Linked DNA regions of Cricetulus griseus. The main gene of each other region encodes a partner of the protein of the gene in region 3 in a complex. Links are inferred from orthologs where the notes say so. Each region holds a gene or a part of one and is shown on either strand. Other genes may lie near its edges. The genes, in order: Rpl13a, Dhx9, Syncrip and Igf2bp1.

Region 1 (4,291 bases), on a different chromosome or scaffold from region 3:
AAACAAAAACAAAAAACTTGGAGTAGATTTTGTGGTGCAAGTCCGAGTTCCTACACCCTGGAGGGGAGGCAGAAGGGTCAGGATTCTGGGTTATCTACTAATACACAGAAATTCGAGGCTAGCCTAAAGGGGGGTGGGGTGGGTGTAGGGAGGGGCAGGGAGAGGTGGGAGGGTGTAAGCTCAGTGGTAGAGGGCTTGAAGGGTGCTGAGAACTCCAGTCTTCAGACAGACCATTGATGATCCAGTTTTACAGAGGAGGATACTGAGGCCAAGCAGGCGTCACCTGACAGATGTTGCACAACCTGGACACAGGGAAAGTTGGGTAGAGCCTGGCCCCTTCTTGGACCTTGCTGCCCCTCCAGCCCTCTCCCCAGGATGAAGTCAACATCAGGACCCAGCCCCACTCACCCCACTCTGTACAAACTCCTTGCTCCCATGAATTTGTATATAAATGGTTTTTACCAGATCTTCCGGACCTATCTGTGGACGGGACAGGGAGTGGGTGGGCTGCTTTAGGTCTCAGGATCTTGGTTTTGCGGGGCTTGGTCATGTAATCCCACCTCCCCAGAAGCTGAGGCAGGATCTCAAGTTTAAGGCCAGCCAGGATTGCAGAAATACTATGTCAGAAGCCAAAACCACGACAACAGGTTTGTTTTCTGAGGCCACCAATGGCCCAGGGTCAGCACTGGGTGATGCTCTCTCTAACAGAACCCCGATGTGAGGCAGAAGCAAGATCATAAAGCCACCAAGTGGCAGGAAAACAAAGTGCTGGAGCCTCCAGGAGGAATCGAGTCAGGCTGGGGAGTTTGGGGAGGTTCTCTAGAGAAAGTGAGTCAGTGAGACGGCCCAATCTGTGTTTTGTTGTGGGAGGTATAGGTACCCCTCAGGGAGGGTATCTCAGATGGCATGCTTAGCCGATACAAAGGCCATTGCAACAGAAGCACGTGTCTGCGGCCCAGGACCCTGCAAGTCCTTCCTCCCACCGTCTCTTCCTTCTGGGGTGACTACCTCCACCGGTTTAACATTCGGAAACTCCTAGATTCAAGAAAGGCCATCAGTTGTCCGCACACCATGAGGTTGAAGGGAGGGGACGCGGACACTGCGAGACCGGCCGGGACTTACGCTCGCCCCCTGGCGGCCACCGCGCGCTCCGCAGCCGCCGGTCCTTGAGGGAGTAATGGCGCCGCGCACAGCGGATACGGGAGCGAACAGCGCTCCCTCCAAATATGGCCGCCGGGGCCGGACGGCCCCGTCCCGCCGAAGCCGCCTCGGGACCCACGTGACCTCCCGCCCCACACAGTCATGGCCGCGAAGGTCCAGCTCAAACCAGTCCGTGATTGGACCATATAAAGATGACCCACCGTCCAGTGTGCGCATGCACACCGCTTCAACCAATGAAAAGACAGAAAGCCTTCCGTTCGTCCCGGGTTGCGTCACTTCCTCCGCCCCTGCGGCAAGGGATAAGAAACCCTGCGCCAAGACCTCCTCCTTTCCCAGGCGGCTGCCGAAGATGGCGGAGGGACAGGTCGGGCTCTGCGCGCGCCGGGAGGTGTGGGGGGTCGGGCGGGCGCCAGGCCGGAGCGGAAGGGGCCTCCGCTCCGCTCGGCGTGTGCAGTGGGACTTAAGGACGCAGTTGAGCAAAGGAAGAACGTTTTGACGCGAGGGCAGTGTAACGTGGGCATAGCGAGCCGCGCATGTCTTTAGGTATGGGGCGACGGAACGCTACGTGTTTCCCGGGGAGACGGGAGTGGGGCTTGGGGCCCCGACACCCGCTAGCAACCTTGAGAGGTCCGTCTCTCAGACACTTGGAACGCGGGGAGCTCGGGGCCGCTCGCTGCTGCGCTTCTGATGCGAAGCTGCTGAGTTAGAGACTCCTGGTTTCGGGACTCAAGCGTGCCGGTTTCTGTAGCTTCTGTCAGTCCTAAGGGTGCTTTCAAAGTCTTTAAGTGTTACGGGATGAATTAGTGAGAAGCATCGGGATTTTGAGGCTATTCAGTAATCGAAATCACCTTTGCTGGGGTATTTTTTCTTCTTAAAAAATGCTTGGAGGATCTCTGCCCGTCTCTTGTCGTTTGGGCCGGGTTACAAGCACATGCCAGCCACCAGGTGTGAGACTTGAAGACTGCTGCTTTCCAGAATTACAAACTAGACAGGGCAGCCATTATATAGTGAATTATTGGGTTTTGCTTTATACTATTGGTATGGTTTCTGTTCCTTGTGAGCGAGTTGAGACTATGATGCAGAGCCACCGTGGCCTAAACTTACCCCAAACGAAGTCTTAGCATGGGATTTTGTTAAAGGCTGGCTGCTTGCACAAGAAGTAGTAGATTGCAGTTTTCCAGCCATTTGAGTCTTTGCATGACAACGAGATGAGGCTCAGTTAAGATTGCAGGCACTTGAACCCTTCTCACGTGCTGCTGGGGCAGCCTTGGGCTTTCTCTTGGTTTGTTGTACCCCTTTGGGGCACCTTATCTGCTTGATAAGTCATCCTGTGGGGAAGGGCACTGGCATGAGTGGTTGGTAACTTGGTAGAGAGAGCCAGACTGCTTCCTAAGCCTTTTGTCTCCCACAGGTTCTAGTGTTGGATGGCAGAGGCCATCTTCTGGGCCGCCTGGCGGCCATTGTGGCAAAGCAAGTGCTACTGGGTAAGTTTCATTCAGAATTTCTGTTTGCCTGCAAGTCAGTGATGAGCAACAATCACCATCTTTCGTTTGAGTCTCACGACTGTGAGATCAACCCATGCACCGCTCTGAGACTTGACGGTCCCTCCTGGACTCCTTCCTGGTTCAAGTGGTTTTGGAGCAGGAGATTTGCACTTCATCTAGGATGTGGTTTTTCTGGGTGTTTAGGGGTGACTTTACTGGCTGTCTTCACAACCCATGTTCTCTCTAGGCCGGAAGGTAGTCGTTGTGCGCTGTGAAGGCATCAACATTTCTGGAAACTTTTACAGAAACAAGTGTGAGTGAGGGCCCAGGGCATCATCTCTAGGTGGGGTGCTGACCTAAGTTCTGGACAAGCAGGTCCTTGGTGTAGACTCGACCTCATCCACTTTTCTTCTTGGCAGTAAAGTACCTGGCTTTCCTCCGAAAGCGGATGAACACCAACCCCTCTCGAGGCCCCTACCACTTCCGAGCCCCGAGCCGCATTTTTTGGCGCACTGTACGAGGTGAGTTGGGCCTGTGGGTGCCATGGAGAATGGGGAATCTGGCAGCCTATGATGAAGCGATCTCCCACTGGTGTTCGAGTTTCCCAACTATGAGACAACTCTACATGCACTACCATCTGAGGCTGGGTGGGCTCCCAGATCTGGGCTAAGAGCGCTTTTCAGCCCCTCTGAAGGGAGTCCTGTTCTTCCCACAGGCATGCTGCCCCACAAGACTAAGCGAGGCCAGGCTGCCTTGGAACGCCTCAAGGTGTTGGATGGGATCCCTCCTCCCTATGACAAGGTGAGCAGCGCAAGCCTAGCTTTCCACAGCCTGTGTCCAGCGTCTGTGATGTTCTGCTATTACCTACATTGTTTGAGCCTCATGAAAACGCCACTAGCTGAGACGCCTGCCCCACCAGCCTCCTTCCCAGGTGATGCTCACAAAAGGTCTCTGAGCCCTTCTCCTTCTCTAACAGAAAAAACGGATGGTGGTCCCTGCCGCCCTCAAGGTTGTGCGGCTGAAGCCTACTAGAAAGGTAAGCTTAAAGTTGCAGAGTGGTCTAGGTGGGACCTGTAGACTGGCAGATGATGTTTTTTTTCTCACGATGGTCTTCGGATGCCACCGATTGGCAGTGCCGATAATGCCACAGGCTCAGCTGATGCCAGTAGGGGCTCCTGTATAGGGGGATATGTCCTTTAAGAGAACCTCTAGGGTCCTTTAGCTCACCCTTGTGCTGCCGGGACACCCATGTCCTTACAGCCTTGTGCCCCTGCAGTTTGCCTACCTGGGGCGCCTGGCTCATGAGGTCGGGTGGAAATACCAGGCAGTGACAGCCACGCTGGAGGAGAAACGCAAGGAAAAGGCCAAGGTCCACTATCGGAAGAAGAAGCAGCTCTTGGTGAGGACAGGACCCTCACATATGCCCTGGGGCGGGAAAGGGTAGTCTGGGAGAGAAAGCCACTCACCGCTTGTTACTTCACCTCACAGAGGCTACGCAAACAGGCAGAAAAGAACGTGGAGAAGAAAATAAGCAAGTTCACAGAGGTCCTCAAGACCAACGGACTCCTGGTGTGAGCCCAATAAAGACTGTTTGTGCTAATGCCTGCCTGGCCTGCTCTTCCTCCACCGCCGACCAGGGGAGTGGG
Region 2 (3,565 bases), on a different chromosome or scaffold from region 3:
TTAGCATCTGAAATAACCTACCAATACCCACCAACATTTTGCCAAAAGCACAGTATCACATACAAAGGAAAACTAATCCTAATATCCAGCCAGCTACTCAAGTCATAAATCACTACTAAGCTCTAAACTAAGTTGCATAAATTCTTACTGATCATCATAAACAAAGTATTACCTGATGGTTCACAGGTTCTCTTAACAATATTCAGAAGTAGATGAAAGGAAAAGAGCAAGGAAAAGCAATTTATTCAATTAGACATAGACAAATCATCCTCTTAATTCATAAGTAACTTACATTAATATCTCTTTCATGAATTTCATCTACAATTACATGACTGATCCCTCGAATCCCCGCTTCTAATTTTCTTAGGAGCACACCTTGAAAAGAAAGTCAGAACAATTATGAGACAGGTTAGGTTTCTTTGTTAGGTAGTCAAAGAAGCAACAAACAACAAATTTTGGCTGGGGTTGGCTGGCAGCACATACCTCTAAGATCAATTATTTAGAGCATGGTGATCATACAGTCACATAGAGAAACCTTTTAACAAGGAGGCAATCAACCCTGCTGCAACACAATTCTATCATTGTAGAAGAGGTCTGAAATATCCTGAATCATATTCTATTTTGAGACTTTTTTCTGTATTGTCCTGACTTTCATGAACTCATTCTATGGTTAGCCTTAAAAAGAGATATTTGCCACCTTCTGCCTCTATAGCACTAGGATTAAAGTGTGCAATACTGTAACCTTTTTATAGTCTTAGTATAAAAATGTGACAATTGCAAATGAGGTATCAAAATGCATTACTGACCTACAGTACAAAACATTATACTGGCATGGGGGCGTGGAAGTATAGACTCAAAGCGGACACTGTAACCACAGCTTTTTCCAGGCTCTTCACCTCTCTCATAAGCAACTCGCTCAGCCACTGCAACTGCACTGATCCTTCTCGGCTGAAAAAACAAAACAAAACACAAAATATGAAACTTCAGAATTAGTTATACTGAAAAGTGTCTATGTGTTATATGCATGATAAAAGCTAGGTTACTACAAAGAGAAACCATGTGTTAAAAAAAAAAAAAAAAACCAAAAACCACCCTAAGTTACATGTTAGGCAAGTGCTCTACCACCAAATACTCAAGCCTTTTTAATGTTCTGACTACATATTCAAGTCCCACCTCAAACTGTTAACACCACACCCAGCTCAAATTTCAAATTACTGCAATGGCTCTCTTTGACAGCTTACTAACAGAAACATGATAGTTAACACAAGTACCTACCATGCCAAGGTTCAATATCAAATCCCCAGTACAAAGGAAGATGGCAGTGGGGCTAGAAACTTAACATTCTTGAAACCTTGTTTGACCACCACCACAACAAACCCCCAAAAACTCCCAAACTATTAATAGAACTCATACACTGGCTTGGTATTTACCTGAGTCACAACAATATTACACTCTGCTGCTCGGCCATTCTGGATAAAGTCATCCAAAATGTACTGTGGAACCTGGGTGGTTTTACCACATCCAGTAGCCCCACGGATTATCACAACCGAATTTTGGCTAATGGCTTCCAGGATTTCAGGTTCAAATTTCTTCACAGGAAGCATCTCTCTCTCTTGTAACACCTGTTAACACAGTTAAAACTTAGTAAAACTTCCTTTGAATAATTTTCCTTTCTAATTGGCTTACTACCAATATTTGTATTTCTAATAGAATTGATTCTCAACTAAATTTCTAGAGAATCTGTCTTGTGGTCCTCATTCTATTTCATTCTTAGGTCTCCATAAACATTCTAAATGTAATTACTTGCCACAAAATGTTAATAATTTTTCAATTTGCTGCAGTGCGTTCAAATAGTAGCACAACTCATTTTTAGGTCCTGAATTAACAGCCACTACTATCAGATTTTAACTATGATACATGATTACTAATTATTTCAGATTTGTCATTCAACCTAACTACACTGTTCTGAAACACTAGACAATGAATGTGAAAATCTTCACCACTTACACTTTGTAAATTATGATCCTGTTCCAGCTGGTATGTTAATTCATTCTTTAGGTCCATGCTGATTTGTTCTGTAGAAGCCTACAAAAAGAACACATTCAAACAAAATCTCTTTTATCCTGACCCAAGGAAGGAGGAAATCCCAAAAACTGATCTTAGAAACCTCGTGGTACTCACATAAGCCAGGGGCCCCTCATCAATGTTGCTACTAGTCCAAGGATTCCAGTTGGACTGTGGAGGTGACCAAGGTACCACTCCCACTGCGTTTTGCCTCTGAGATGGTTCAAAATGAGCCAATTTCCCAATGTTGAGTATAACTGGCATGGAAGGATCAACAGGCTGATAAAAAAGCAAAACAAGTAAATAAAAGGAAACACTTGTCTAAGTGAAGATTTTAAAATAAGGTTAACTACAAAAGGCTATATATATGCTTACTGGGGGCACAATTTCAAGATCTAGCTCTTGAACCACATTTTGCAGCTGATGCTCCAAATCTGGAGACAGGAAAACTTTGTACGGCTCCACCTACAAAAAGGAGTAATGAAAATCATTAATACAACCATGAATAAAATTCAAAATTAATTTCACGAAAATAATATAGAGTTGAGACCGGGGTTATTATAGACACAATCAACAATTCCTTTTAGTGAGAATTTCTTTAATGACTCACTCACTGACTGGATCCTTATCAAAGTGCTAATTAAATCAATGCAGCATTTTAATTTCCTGATTTACTAAGCTTTTAGCTCAGAAATAGTATTTGGCATTTAAGACCCCTAATTTCCATTATAATGCCCTTGTCCCCAACTCATTCAACTTCTGTAGCCAAATATTAAGTTACTCAGGGTAGTTATGCCTAAATACATACTCTCTCGCCTTCTTTCTTCTTTGTAAGCCCAGAGTAAGCCTCAATCACTCCAAGATGATAGAGTTGTCGGACAAGTGAGAGGGCACATGACTGTGCTGCTAATTTCTTGTTTGATCCATGTTCACGTGCAAAAATCCCTATAAGAATTACCACAGACAGAAATCAGCTACATAAAAAAACCATCAGAAACAAGTAGGCATTTTATGTACCAAACAAACACCCATATAAAGTACATCACAGTTCTTTTCATTCCATTCGCTATCCAAATACAATTCCTACAACCCACTCATCTTTTATTACCACATCATGAAACCAGATAAAAAAAAACTATATAGACAAACTAAAAGCCTTAAGTATAATATCCATGAAGAGATTTCCACTTAATGAATTAAAACTCCATGGGCATAGTAGAGTACCTATGATCACATCTCAGGATTACAAAACTTTAGAGCTAGATCATGTTAAAAAATATAGGTCTTCTAAGTCACATAGGCTATCACAACTGTTCACTCTTCTTTGATACAAAAGTAGATGCAGAGTGAGCTTGAATTCATAGTTCTATGAAAGCCAGAGCTACCTCAAGAACTTGACCCCCCAAAAAGCAGAGGAACCACTACTGTCCATGAAAAATTTCCATATGTTAAATTTAACAATGTATTAAGTTGCAGAATTCAGAATTTGTTACAGAGAGAG
Region 3 (2,456 bases):
CCATACCCTTCCTTCCAGGGAGGGTGAGGCCCTCCATGGGGTATCCCCAAAGTCTGTCATATCCTCTGGGGCAGGGCCTAGGGCCTCAAAGATGAGTATTTGTGTTTATGTGTGGTGAAAAATGTCAGAATGATGATGTGGCTTCTTCTATTGTTTTCTTTTTAAGGGTGCATTTCTGTTACAGATTGTTGCTCTCTTGTTTGTAACATTACTTTTATTCTACAGTGCCATGATGTTACTTGTTAGGGTTAAAGGAGCAAACTTGCTCTTCCAGCGTTCCTGAGTTCAATTCCCAGCAACCACATGATGGCTTACAACCATCTGCAATGAGATCAGCTACCTTCTGCTGGTGTGCAGGAAGAATACTGTATACTCAATAAATAAGCCATTTATTTATTTATTTATTTATATTTGTCTTTAGGCCATTTTGCTAAAAAAAAAAGTTCGTCATTTGCTTGTCCTTTATTTGGCATTTCTATTTTATATCATGTGGTCTGTGGTAAAGGAGTTGTAATTCAGAGTGACAAATTTTAAAGCCTAAGAAGTTTGTAAAAAATCTGTTATAGGAATTGTGAAATCATGAAGGATAAATAGAGATTTCTGAATTATTGGGATGTCTGCTTTTATCCTGGTCCTGCTTATTCCTGCTAAGAACTTAACATAGTGCTAATAATTCCATTTTAAAGACTTGAGTTGCTACAAATAAATGCCTACATGCTAGATCACCAATTTGATTTCTACTCTAATCACCGTCTTTTTTCTTTTTACTAGGTATGATGATTACTACTATTATGGTCCACCTCATATGCCTCCCCCAACAAGAGGTCGAGGGCGTGGAGGTAGAGGTGGCTATGGATATCCTCCAGATTATTATGGATATGAAGATTATTATGATTATTATGGTTATGATTACCATAACTATCGTGGTGGATATGAAGATCCATACTATGGTTATGAAGATTTTCAAGTTGGAGCTAGAGGAAGGGGTGGTAGAGGAGCAAGGGGTGCTGCTCCATCAAGAGGTCGTGGGGCTGCTCCTCCCCGTGGTAGAGCCGGTTATTCACAGAGAGGAGGCCCTGGATCAGCAAGAGGCGTTCGTGGTGCGAGAGGAGGCGCCCAACAACAAAGAGGCCGCGGGGTACGTGGTGCAAGGGGTGGCCGCGGTGGAAATGTAGGAGGAAAGCGCAAAGCTGATGGGTACAACCAGCCAGATTCCAAGCGGCGCCAGACCAATAATCAGAACTGGGGCTCCCAACCCATTGCTCAGCAACCGCTCCAAGGTGGTGATCATTCTGGTAACTATGGTTACAAAACTGAAAACCAGGAGTTTTATCAGGATACTTTTGGGCAACAGTGGAAGTAGAAACAATAGGGAATCTGTAAAATTGGAGACTGATAGATTGGCCAGAAACTGGCCCTAAATCTAAACAGGTGCAGTTATAATTTGAGACATCTGGCAAGATTTTCCCTTTATGTATATATTTTAACAATCCAATCCGCTTGGACATGAACAAAGCCACACTTATGTTTCTGGCGAACTGATTTTATTTTTACTTTTATTTTTTTCCAATAATGGTATTCTTAGTTAAGAGAAAAATGAGTTGGCATTCCTGATTGAGAATTTGGCTCATTTGGCTGTAGTACATACAATGTTTCTGGGTAGTGTTTAGATTTGGTGTCTTGAAAGGTAGTTGATTAAAAACCAAGTATGTCTTTAATATCTTGTATCAGAACAACTATTTGTATGTTACCAACTTAAATTGCTAGAATAAGGTAAATTGGTACACAACTGCTATTTTTAATTTAGAACTTTGACCTAATTGGGTTTTCAAAACCATTTGGCTACTTGTATTCTTTATGCTGTTGTTAATTTCAATAAAAAATTCACACCTAAATGTATACTTACTAAAACTGTGTTTACAATTCGTTTTTCACAAAATTTCCTGCAAATTTGGTTGAAATTCTCTAGCATGTCAAGGCCAATTAAAGGGTTTGGGCCTTGTTAGTCCTTGTGTGGAATATGTCTGCACATTACACAACACTGACTTGTTGCAGTTTTCTGCTTCTGGGTTAAAGTGCTATTATACAACAGACTTCTTGTTCTCAACCAAAATTTATAATTAGTATGTGTAGTAAGTTTAAGTTGGTAAGTATTTTTATAACTCTTAACTTCATGATAAAGTATTACAAGGACAATTACAGGTAGTTTCAAACAGTTGTAGGATACACTTAACACTAGTTGTTTCAAGTTTTTTCTAACTTAATCTAAAAATCAATTGAGTATTGCCCTTTTGATTATTTTGTGCAGCATGACTCAGCAAAGAAACAACTAATGTGATATTGGGAATAATGTGAGTGCTTAATTTATGAGATGCATTTTCTTTTAAGTCATTGTGCTTCCCTCTTAATTAAAAGGAAAATAACTTTTAATTAGTAAATACTGAAAGCTTAAATTT
Region 4 (3,991 bases), on a different chromosome or scaffold from region 3:
CTTCCGGCTTTAAATTTTAAACCATTCTCAAGAGCAGAAGGGGAAAGATCACATATTTCAGAATTCCAGTTATTAGATTCCCCATCAAGAGTTTTGAATTTAAATATTCATAATCTTCAAATAGACCTCAATTATGTTATTCTCTCCCAAATTTTTTCAAAGTAAGACTTTTCTTTCCTTTTCATTTTAGTGCCTCTTTGCTCCTAATTCTAATCACCTTTCCAATTTCTCAAGCATCTGACAACAAATCACATACTCTAGAAACAGACACAATATTGATCATCTATAGAGGCAATCATTCAGTTACTTTAAAATCTGAAGGCAAACCACAGAACAGTTTATCTCCAGCTAAACTTTAGATTCTTTAAAAGTACCCCCCCCACACACACACACACCAAAAGCACAGCACCCACACACATTTCCACCTTAGGAAAGGCCAAAAACTGTTCAGAAATTCAGGAAGTTTCCAGTTGAAAGAGGGGTTGAGGGGACCAAAAATGTACTGAGGACTGCTTCCAGCTAAAGACAGGAAAGAAAACTGCACTGTCAACATGTTCAAAAAGTCTGATGTGAGAAACACTGCCCTTATGCTACACAGTCAGAGTTCAACCGAAGACTTCAGAATTCAAAGCACCCTGAATTTTAGGGGAGCAAGATGGAGATACCCCATTTTGATGGAAAAGATGGAATACAGGGAAAAAAGAACTCAGATGAGAACACACACACACACCCATTCATCCCTGGAGTTCTAGACCCTCCAAAGAGCCCCAGCTCACAGCCTGAGCACAAAGCTCTCACCCCAGATGGTCCCTTGTAACAATGGGCTGAAGGAGTGGGGGTGGGGGGGCTGGAAAGGGATAGTACAGCCAAAGGATATTCTTTGAAAATCCAGTTGAAGGGGCAATATAAGATGCGAGGGGCTGGGGATGAGGGTCTGTGAGGGGGGCAACAAAAGCCATGCCTATAACAGAAATTAATACGGCATAAGCAGATTCTAATAGGGGTGGATTGCTCATTATTTCACCCCCAATGAGAAAGGGATTCCCCTAAATCCATTTTCAAATTATTATGTGGATGAGAGAAACAGAAAAAAAAAAAGAAGAAGCCTGGCGGGAAGTTAAAGAAATCACCCCCGCTATGAGTTTGAACTCTGTATATCTACGCTTCCCTACAAAAATGGTCCCTCACTTTGAACTAACTCCACAGGGCTTCCCCCAATTGATTTTTTTCTCTTTAGTTTCTGAAAGTAACATCTTTTGGCCCACCCCAATCCCAAGTTGTTGTTGTTGTTTTTTTTTTTTTTAAAGCTCTAAAACACCCATTACAAGATCTTGGCCAATCTTATTTCCCAGCCCCCAACATCCGGAGTTGGGAAGGCCAGTAATGGGTTTGTTCCACTGGAGACGACGCTATGGATTGGACCCCCTTAATATTCCTCAGTTCCCCCAAATGAGTTCTTTTCCTACCTTTGTTTTTTGGGGACCGAGTGTTCAATCTCTAGGCGTTTTCCTTGTAGCTCTACTTTCCCTGAAGATTTAAAAAAAAAAAAAATGAATGAGGGAACAAGAGTGGGGGATGGGGAGGAAGGGAGGATAAGGAACATTAGCTAAATTCAAGAGTTTGAGGGGCGTCTTAGGAATCTAGGCACTAAGCTGCCTAAGCCTTGGCGGGGGGGTGTTCTACCTTGCTCCAGGCATGGTAGAACCCGTAAATTCGTTTTTCTCAAATTTTCGTTTAATTTCCACTAATCACGTGGGCTAGTTGCAGGGACTGCTCCGAGAGCCAGATTTAGGAAAGGTGTGAGAGCGTTTGTGTGGTGAGCGCGCGGCTTCTGCGGCTCCCAGAAGTAGGAAGGAGCCCGGGGAAAGGATCACCCCGTTTCTCCGAGTGGGGTGGGAGTAGAGCATTAAACTTTATTTTCCTGCCGAGCCTCGGAGAAGAGCTCAGGCGACTAGGCGTCACCTGTCGGGGCCGGAGGGCTAGCCGAGGGCCCCGGGGGGCGCGGCGCGGCGCGGCCGGGTGGGGAGGGTCCCTCGCGGCCACCGCGCGCCTCTCGGCCCAGCCTCGGCGTCTCGGGAAGCAGCATGGCGACCCGGCGCCGCCGCCGCGCCACCCGGCTCACGCCCCACTTTCAAATCAAAATGGCTCAAGCCCCAGGCCTTGGGCGGGAGGCGGGAGCCCCTTCCTCCCACGTCCTGTCTCAGGGCGAGTGCCCAGGAAGAGAGCGGGAAGACCCGAGGTGCAGGAGCACCCCTCCTGGGAAGGCCTAGGAGGGAGAGCATGGGCGTGGGGGTGCTCCAGCAGGGGGGGCCTCCCAGCGGAGGGGTGCGGGCACCGGGGAGACCACGCCTAGACCCGGGGCCCGGGAGACCCCCACCCCCACCAGTTGCCGACGGGGGCTCCCGCCCCGTCGGTGGGGAGGGGGGCGAGGAGCCTCGCGTGTCCCGGGCTGGGGGAAGGGAGAAGGGAACCCCGACCATTCCCGCGTGGGGAGGGGGCGTCGAGGGAGGTAGGTCGAGGCAGGCTACCGAGGCCGAGCCCCGCGGGCCCGGGAAGAGTTGGCGGGCAAGAAAAGAGGAGCTGCGGGTCTCCGTTGTTCTGGGATTTCGTTGTGTGGTTTTGTTTTTTTTTTTCCCCCGGGGAGGTGGCCGCGCTCTTACCCGAGAAAGTTTCGATGGCCTTCATCGCCCAGTGTTCGTCGGGGCAGTCCACGAAGGCGTAGCCGGATTTGACCAAGAACTGGCCGCTGTAGGAGATCTTGTGCTCCGCAAACACTTTCTCCAAGTCTGCGGGGGTCACGCTCTCGTTGAGGTTGCCGATGTAAAGCTTGTTCATGGTGGCGGTGGCGGGGCAGGACGTGGTCCCGGGCAAGGCCGAACGGGCGGGCGGGCGGGCTGGCGAGCGGAGAGCCTCCTAGGCCGAGAGGCGCGGAGGCGGGCGGCGGGAGCTGCAAACTTTCTACGCGCCCCACCCCTCAAGTTGTCCGGAGCTCCGGGCGGGTGGGCGACCTGAGGGCGCGCGGAGGTCACGGGAGAGTTCGGGGTGGCCCGGGAGAAGTGCCCGCGGAGCGCAGGGAGGCGGACGACGCGGCGCAGCTCCTTCCCTTCGGTCCGAAACCCCTGCGAGCGGGCTGGTGTGTCACGTTTCTCCGCGGCCGCCCTGGCGCCGCCTCTAAATAAAATCGACTTGGAAAAAAAAAAAAATGGAGCGGAAAAAAAAAAAGGCGAAGCCACGTGGTGACAGCCCCCACCCACCCTGCAAGGAAAGACCCCCGACGCCACCGGGCCCCTGGGCCGTCCAACCGGGACCAACCCAACAGTCTCCGGTCTTGGGGGGCACCCGGCGCACCCCAGGGGTTAGCCAGGAAGGTGGAGACGGAGTCCCCGAAGCTCCCCTCGCCCCCTCCCCCTTTGCAAGAACCTGGCCCCTGAGGCGGCGCCCCGCCCCCACCCACCCCTCTTGCCACCGCGACCTGCCCTGGGGGAGGGCGGTGGCGACCCAAATCTCCCCAGTCCTTTGGAGTGAAACGTTCGGTCATTTTTTTATTCGTTGTGTGGAGACTGGGTTGCCCACCCCACCCTGGTAAACTGCTAGCGACTGACAGGCGGGGGACGGCCGAGACAGACAAAGAGAAGCCGAGGACTCCGGGGTCTTCAGGAGGGGATCGCAAGAACCGGCTAGTTAGGGGGGAAGACGCCTTCCCTCTACGTTTCTAAGCAGGGCGTCACTGTCTTCCCCTCCACACCCCCAGGAGACTTCCCTGGCCTCCCGGGTCCAGATCCGGGGGACCCTGGTCGCGCGGGACAGCTCCTGGGAACGAGGGACCCGCGGCAAATGGTGTTTCGGGATCCCCGCCGGAGCAGAGCTGGCTCGCACCCAGTCCAGCTGCTGGATGACAGCTCTCCAGCGTTCCTGGGGGGGAGCCGGCGACCCGGCTGAGGTCACTCCCGAAGGACCAGCGGGGTGGGAGAGGATGATGCGGGGTGCTCGC

Evidence for each region.
Region 1: Syncrip (region 3) and Rpl13a share a complex: the UniProt entries of both Homo sapiens proteins name them as parts of the GAIT complex. The link is inferred for Cricetulus griseus from reciprocal best matches to the Homo sapiens genes SYNCRIP and RPL13A.
Region 2: Syncrip (region 3) and Dhx9 share a complex: the UniProt entries of both Homo sapiens proteins name them as parts of the coding region determinant (CRD)-mediated complex. The link is inferred for Cricetulus griseus from reciprocal best matches to the Homo sapiens genes SYNCRIP and DHX9.
Region 4: Syncrip (region 3) and Igf2bp1 share a complex: the UniProt entries of both Homo sapiens proteins name them as parts of the coding region determinant (CRD)-mediated complex. The link is inferred for Cricetulus griseus from reciprocal best matches to the Homo sapiens genes SYNCRIP and IGF2BP1.

Annotation. Positions count from the first base shown.
Region 1 is NC_048599.1:154,013,334-154,017,624, reverse strand, and holds Rpl13a (60S ribosomal protein L13a), read left to right. Parts: upstream 1-1,433; 5' UTR 1,434-1,510; coding exon 1,511-1,525; intron 1,526-2,572; coding exon 2,573-2,645; intron 2,646-2,676; exon of another isoform or gene 2,677-2,759; intron 2,760-2,892; coding exon 2,893-2,958; intron 2,959-3,064; coding exon 3,065-3,166; intron 3,167-3,207; exon of another isoform or gene 3,208-3,292; intron 3,293-3,360; coding exon 3,361-3,446; intron 3,447-3,484; exon of another isoform or gene 3,485-3,554; intron 3,555-3,621; coding exon 3,622-3,681; intron 3,682-3,725; exon of another isoform or gene 3,726-3,814; intron 3,815-3,921; coding exon 3,922-4,044; intron 4,045-4,133; coding exon 4,134-4,220; 3' UTR 4,221-4,247; downstream 4,248-4,291. Other genes in the region: Flt3lg (fms-related tyrosine kinase 3 ligand), read left to right, coding at 254-379. UniProt on the Homo sapiens protein: Associated with ribosomes but is not required for canonical ribosome function and has extra-ribosomal functions.
Region 2 is NC_048598.1:38,197,782-38,201,346, reverse strand, and holds part of Dhx9 (ATP-dependent RNA helicase A), read right to left. Parts: intron 3,010-3,565; coding exon 2,873-3,009; intron 2,530-2,872; coding exon 2,440-2,529; intron 2,344-2,439; coding exon 2,182-2,343; intron 2,086-2,181; coding exon 2,008-2,085; intron 1,623-2,007; coding exon 1,431-1,622; intron 949-1,430; coding exon 807-948; intron 376-806; coding exon 293-375; intron 1-292. UniProt on the Homo sapiens protein: Multifunctional ATP-dependent nucleic acid helicase that unwinds DNA and RNA in a 3' to 5' direction and that plays important roles in many processes, such as DNA replication, transcriptional activation, post-transcriptional RNA regulation, mRNA translation and RNA-mediated gene silencing.
Region 3 is NC_048597.1:198,373,587-198,376,042, reverse strand, and holds the end of Syncrip (heterogeneous nuclear ribonucleoprotein Q), read left to right. Parts: intron 1-771; coding exon 772-1,363; 3' UTR 1,364-1,899; downstream 1,900-2,456. UniProt on the Homo sapiens protein: Heterogenous nuclear ribonucleoprotein (hnRNP) implicated in mRNA processing mechanisms. Component of the CRD-mediated complex that promotes MYC mRNA stability.
Region 4 is NC_048600.1:109,139,939-109,143,929, forward strand, and holds the start of Igf2bp1 (insulin-like growth factor 2 mRNA-binding protein 1), read right to left. Parts: upstream 2,836-3,991; coding exon 2,661-2,835; intron 1,528-2,660; coding exon 1,467-1,527; intron 1-1,466. UniProt on the Homo sapiens protein: RNA-binding factor that recruits target transcripts to cytoplasmic protein-RNA complexes (mRNPs). This transcript 'caging' into mRNPs allows mRNA transport and transient storage.